Macaca fascicularis: one gene and its partner. The protein of the gene in region 1 interacts with the protein of each later gene in a pairwise test. Links are inferred from orthologs where the notes say so. Each region holds a gene or a part of one and is shown on either strand. Other genes may lie near its edges.

Region 1 (4,334 bases):
TAACTTAATTACTTAGTCACTAAGAAGTTAATCTGGTTTATAAACTCCTCTCTATGGCATCAAAGACAGAAGTTTTGTTGTTGGGCAGTTGCAGGAGCAGAGTCAATACCCTGTCACCAAGGCTGGCCTGGAAAACAAGCTACAGTGATGCTGTATGGATGACTGGGGGTGGAGGGGGATTCTGAACCAACAGCCAAGAATCCCATTTTCAAGTCCTAACTCTGCCACACGTTTTCTATGTAACCTTGAGCATGTCACTTAACTTGACTCAGCTTCAATTTCTCATCTGTAAATGAAGGGGAATGAGACAGGATAAATGGAAAGGGTCTTTCCTACCCTAAAATTTCTGGATTCCATGAGCACAGGGTCTGAATATGTGTCCCTGTTAGATACCAGTGAAACACTGTACCAATAGGTTATTCATAGTATTCATACTTCATACCAAGAATGAGACATTCATCACTGTAACTTTCTTGATACTCATAAGTACATGAAAAATTATTTGAGAAGACCTCAAAAAAAGGAATCTAAGGCTAATGACAAATTTTTTAAGTGTCATAATTTTTTTTCAAGAATTAATAGTCATTGTTGTCCATATCCAGTTGTATTGGCTTATTTCCAACAAAATTTCCCTTGGCTACATGGGGCCTGAGATGCTCTAAGCTTTCAGAAGGACAGAAATGAGTAAGAGCATTTTTCCTAAAGAACAGGAGAATCATCTTAAATGGGCATATGTGAACCATCTAGTTTCCCAATTACTGGCAAATAATTTCAATCTTGGACTGCCCTCTTTGCCATACAAGTATTGTATTACTTGGCCCCTGTATTAGTTTTCTATTTCTTGATATAACAAACTACCACAAACACAGTGGCCTAAAACAATATATTATTTTATCTGACAGTTGTGTAGGTCAGAAGTGCCATACCAGCTCACTAGACTAAGGTCAAGGTGTCAGTAGAGTCAGGTTCCTTCCTGGAGACTCTAGGAAGAATCTGTTTCCTTGTTTCATCCAGCTTCTAGAGGTGACCCACATTCCTTGATTCATGGACGCCTTCCTCCATCTTCACAATCAGCAGCATAGCATCTCTCTAATGAGAGATGGGTCCGGGATGAAACTGTTCCACCTCAGATCATCAGGCATTAGAGTCTCATAAGGAGCATGCAACCTAGATCCCCAGCATGTGCAGTTCACAGCAGGGTTCACGCTGCTATGAGAATCCAATGCCGTGTTGATCTGATAGGAGGCAGAGCACAGGCAGTAATGCTTGCCCGCTGCTTACCTCATGTAGTGTGGCCAGATTTCCAACAGACCACGGACGGGTAACAGTCCTTGGCCTGGGGGTTGGGGATTTATGAGAATCATGTTTCTATCAGATGTTATGGACCATTATCTGTCACTTGCTCTCTCCATTATCATAGATAATTGACATTTGATATTTGGTAAGATTTTCTTTAGTTTCTTTTCTGGATAAACGTATCACTTTGGTATGTTTTGTGATACTTAGGACATCATGGTGTCATCCAAGCCAACAAGCCATGCTGGAGTATATGAAACCACACCCAACCCTTACTACCCACCAAGCAGCTTTACGGCTCCTGGATCTCAACAGCCTCCGGGTTCAATCAACTTAGAAAACCAAGCTCAGGGTGCTCAGAGTGCTCAGCCCTACTTCATCACATCTCCAGGAACCTCTGCTGTCAGTCAACCAGGTCAAGGAAATACACAAATGATAAATCCAAGCGTGGGAAGAGCAGTAATAAACTTTAAAGAAGAAGCAAAGGTACTAGGGGTAAGTCTACTTACTACTAGAATTTTAAACTCACATTTGCAAGGTCTTCTTATAAGTTATAGGAGAAGAGAATATCATCCAATTGCTAAAAAGTTTTGAATGTTATTCTGAAACTATCCCTTTTAGACAGAAATATTTAGTCTGCCTATAGACTTTCCCTTGAGTTCATTTCATTTTAGATCAAGCAAAAATATAACAGGAGACAGAGGAGCCTCCCTAGCTGGAGGATTTGGTAATATTGACATGACGGAAACTCTACTACATCTAGCTTGATCTCATTTCTTCAAAGGACTTTTTGGACAATCTCAATCTCGTCTCCAGATTGGTTACAAGTCAGGTATTTGCATAAAGGTGAATTTACATAAAAATGAACATTGATGGCTGCCTCCAGAAAAGGAAACTACAAATGGGCAGTCTGGGAAAGGCTGAGTGTGAAAGAATTGGGGGACGTTCCATCTGTTGTGCCTCTCTCGCCAATATCCTTAGAGATGCTACAGCGTAACTGTCACCTTATTCCTACAAAGGAGACTCTGAACTGACCACCTTGTTTCTGTAGGCATTGTAAAAACAAAAATGCCCTATTTGTAAGAAAATTCCACCTGCCTAGGTAGAATTGTTACTCCCTTCGCTGTGCTTTCCAAATACCTCATTCATCCCGCTAGTACAATTCCACCAAACTATATTAAGTCTCTCCCTGTGAATAGCTTGAAATTCTCTGCTGGAGCATTCCGTAAATGAATGCTCATTATGTGCCAGAAAATCTTCTAGTCATCTTACTACCTATTTCAAGTTGTGATGTTTTAGGGAAGTAAAAATGAGCCTAAGTTCTCTTGCAGCAGCCTATTTACTAAGCTGTGGAGGTGGCCCTTCTGATCCTCTTCCTCCCAGATAGAGGAAATTCCCCACTTCTAATAAGCCAATGGGACAAACCCCCCATACAGCCAACCCCACATAGGTGCTTGGAAAATATCACCGAGTACAAAGCAGGTGCAATCTCTGCCTTTACAGAACTTTTGCCCTAGTGGGGGAAATCAGACTGTAAACATAAGAAGGAAGTAAAGTACTTAGTGTATTAGAAGGTGTCGAATGATATGGACAAAACAAAGAAGTGTAAAAGGGCTAAAAAGTACCAGACAGTGAGGAGGCAGCAATTTCAAGGCAGTCAGAATGGGCTTTCCTTAGAACATGACATTTGAGCAAAAACCTGAAGTTAGGAGTGAGCCCTGCAGATATCAGGGAAAGTGAAAACAACCAGTGTAAAAGTCTTTAGATGAAAATATCTGTGATGTATTTGAAAAACAGGGAGAAGGCCAATAAAATAGAACAGAATGAGGGAGGGAGGGAGCAGTTGTCAGGAGGGCAGAGGAGTGGCAGAGGCCACAGCTGGTGAGGCCTGCAGAGCAGAAGGCTTTGGCTTTGACTAAGTGGATGACGAACCACTGAATCACGCTGCCTGGCACCAAAAAGGCGTGTGATAAAAATACTTTAAAAGACTATGAAGTTTTGTTTAAAGCTCCAGTTGGCAGAAGCTACTTCCTCTCTCTGAAGATTGTTATTTCTATACCATCAGCAGGCCCCAGGCATCACGACAGTGCAGGGGCCACAGGTGGCAGGACGTGGCACACCTGTACCAGTCAACTCAGACCTTAAAGTGCTTCTGTGTCCACAAATGCAGACAAATTGTATGTCCAAATTTTTAAGTGTGTCCTATAGGCAATTTTCATCAGTAAATGGTACAGCCAGGGCTGTAGGAGGAGAAATGAGGGCCAGTACAAATCCAGATCTAACTGTCCCTCATCAAGGTGACAGCAAGGATGAGGATGGGAAGTTTGTGGCCAGATGGCTAAATTGCTGCTCTAAAGAAGAGTTGTAAAAACCAAATATAAAGTCTAATACAGGAGTTCTTTAAGTGAGATAGGCTAAAGGAGGCCCATCATGCCTCTGAAACTATATGCAAAAGTATGGTATGTGTGTGTATGGAGGTGCAAGAATAATTTTTTAGGGAGAAAGGTTCACGGTTTTTATCAAAGTCTCAAGAAACTGTTAGCATTGTTTATAAAACTGGGTTTTTTTATTTTAATTCAATTTACTTGTGTTCAGTAGCTTTTTATTGAATAAATACAGCAGTCTTTGTATTTGCAGTCTTCCTGGATAGATAAGGTGTAAACATGGGGAAAAATAAATGACAAATCTACAGTCAACTTTTGGACCAATCTAGAAATGGTTATTCCTCAGAAATCTATCTTTATTTACAGTGAAGGAAGGTTCAATAAGAGGTACAAGGAGCTAAAAGATGCATACCTTACTTTTAGTAATATATGATTGGTAAGAAGAATGGTAAGAAAATGATTGCACACCTGCAACTTTTTAAAAGAGAACAATATCAATGAATACAAAATCAAGTAACAAGGTGTGTTTTATGTCATGAGATGCAACAGAAATTTAGAAAAAAAGAAAAAAGATTAATTTGGTGTAATCAAGAGGGCTTCATGGAAGAGGTAGAGCAGAGCTGAGCATGGGGGAAGACAGTACTGAATAGTTCA
Region 2 (2,312 bases), on another chromosome or scaffold:
TGTGAAAAACTGGATGCTCTCCCACTGACAAGTGCACGTGCAGAAACCTTGTGGTTTAAACCATTCTGGGAGATTCATAGGCTCTCCCGTGAAACCCAGACTCCAGGCCCACGTCAGGTGGCCAGTGAAGTGGCTGCAGTCCCCTCCACGCCTGTCACCCTTCACACCACCAGGCCCTGCACACCATCTCCTCCCAGGATCCTGTGACACCCACAGTGAGGGAGAGGAAGGGACTACCAGTCCTTTTTGACAGACAGGAGGCTCCCGCTCAGAGAGGTTGGACTCCGGGCCTGGAGCCACGGCCAAGCCCAGGGGAGGGCAGGGCCTCGATGGGCACTCATTTGGTTCCTTACTCTTCCTGATGAGGGCAGTTTTGAAATCAGCAAATTCAGTGATGGAGACAGAGACGGGGAGCTTCTGAATGTGGCTGCAGGTGTTAGTATAGAGGCGTGAACTGGTTCTAGAAAAATTCCTAGGCTGGCCTTTGAATGTTGTCTTTTTAGAACTAAATCCTTGCTAGATGTCCCCTCTGTCACTCTTATCTTGTCCTTCATTGTCCTTATCACAATCTGATAGGCCCCGCCTGTGGTTCTTAGCTGTTTCCCGTGCTTAGAAGGTAATGTTGGCATCCCAGGACCCTGGTGCTCATCAGCTCCATGATAAACAGCTGTGAAATGCATCTGGCTGAGTGTGAGATGGTGCAGCTGCCAAAACCCCTCCTGCCTGGCCTGAGATCTGGTTGGAGCTTGTGTCACTGTTACCCTCTTGGTCCTTACACCCTTCTCGCCTCTCTTTCAGTTCTTTGCATGTTTGGTGATGATCGCCTATGGAGTGAGTGCCTTCTTCAGCTACCAGGCCTGGCGAGGAGTAGGCAGCAATGCAGCCACCAGTCAAATGGCTGGCGGCTATGCCTAAACCACCTGTGCCACGGCCCTCTCTGGGGCTGAAGCCGCCGCTGGGTCACAGAGCAGGGTCACCCTGCAAGCCCGAAGCTGGGGAGCCCTGCGCGGAGTCAACCTGACAGCGACTGCACTTGCTCCTCTCTGCCCATCAGACACAAGCTCTCACAGCGCTAAGGAAGCAGGCCCAGGCTGGCAGGCATCTGGGCTTGCAGGAGGCCAACTGCTGAGACCTCCTCTCCATCCCCCTTATTCAGTGGAAGGTGACGGGGGATCTGAGGCTGTGTCTCTGCCTTGTCTTTAGAGGACTTCAGCGTCCAAGACTGGGGCCTACCCTTCTCACCAGCACTAAATGCACTAACAAGGACTCCTGACCTGCAGCCCCAGACTCGCCGTAGTATAAGCCTAACAAGCAACATGTAGCACCTTAGTCTTCGTTCCAGGAGAGCTGAGCAAGCTCGTGAAACCATTCTCCTTCCTTTAAACACCGTTCCAACCAACCTCTCCCTGGAGCCAACCTGTAAAAAGTGGGTTATGATTGTTGACCGCATGGTCTTCCCTCCCTGCATTTTAGACATACCAGTTACTGAAAACAAATCAGTTTTAAGTGACTTCTCAATGCTGAAAAGCCTGTCCAGGTTTCCTTCACTTTCCCAAGCCTCTCTCTGTAATACTCCCTTTGGGCGAAGCTAACCTCAGTGCTGACTGCCTCCCTGACCCTGCTGACTAGGCACATGGGACACGAAGGAGGGAGGGAAGTGAGGCCTTGCCTGGCAAGTTGTCATGTGGTTGGTGGTGACTGTTTTATTTTTTTTTAATAAAAAGATAAGAGAAGTTATTTGGACAAGATGTTGGGGAATCACTTTTGCAGGTGCTTGTAACCTCCAGGAGACCTCAGCTTGACTGTAGAAGATGCCTGCTGTAGGGCAGTTCATGTTCCGGAGTCGTTCAGCACCACCTGCCAACTCTTTGACCAGAGGAAAGCTGCTTATACTTCCTGCTTGCTGGGTCTAGAACAGTCCTGGTTTATGCTGTTTGTGCTGGCATAAGTAGAATAGCACGGCCTTTTATTCTCACAAGTGATTCAATTTGACAATAACTTAGTCACCCTTGCTTTGAGCAGGTTAGGTGAGCTTACTAAATGAAAGATTTCAATAATATCACCTACCTTGAAGGTCTGTGAAGCTTGGAGGTCATATAATCAAGGTGGCTGGCCATGCTGCCTGCTCAGAGCTGGTAGAGACAGCAGAGGAAAGCAACCGAGTACTCCTGAGCTTATTTTTCTAAGACCACAGAGCAACGTTCTCTGAACAATAAGGTAAAAGCATTTCTAGGCACCCTCTGTACCCTTTTTATTTGTTCTTTTATTTTTATTTTTTGGAGATGGAGTCTCACTCTAGCACCCAGGCTGGA

What was found. The genes of interacting proteins can lie anywhere in the genome.
Region 2: the proteins of MS4A12 (region 1) and PLLP interact in binary tests that used the Homo sapiens proteins (3 or more experiments, as listed by UniProt). The two-hybrid records come from large-scale screens. The link is inferred for Macaca fascicularis from reciprocal best matches to the Homo sapiens genes MS4A12 and PLLP.

The regions. Positions count from the first base shown.
Region 1 is NC_088388.1:13,729,001-13,733,334, reverse strand, and holds the start of MS4A12 (membrane-spanning 4-domains subfamily A member 12), read left to right. Parts: upstream 1-1,512; coding exon 1,513-1,791; intron 1,792-4,334. UniProt on the Homo sapiens protein: May be involved in signal transduction as a component of a multimeric receptor complex.
Region 2 is NC_088394.1:53,367,935-53,370,246, reverse strand, and holds the end of PLLP (plasmolipin), read left to right. Parts: intron 1-798; coding exon 799-915; 3' UTR 916-1,737; downstream 1,738-2,312. UniProt on the Homo sapiens protein: Main component of the myelin sheath that plays an important role in myelin membrane biogenesis and myelination. Plays an essential function in apical endocytosis. Regulates epithelial development through the regulation of apical endocytosis.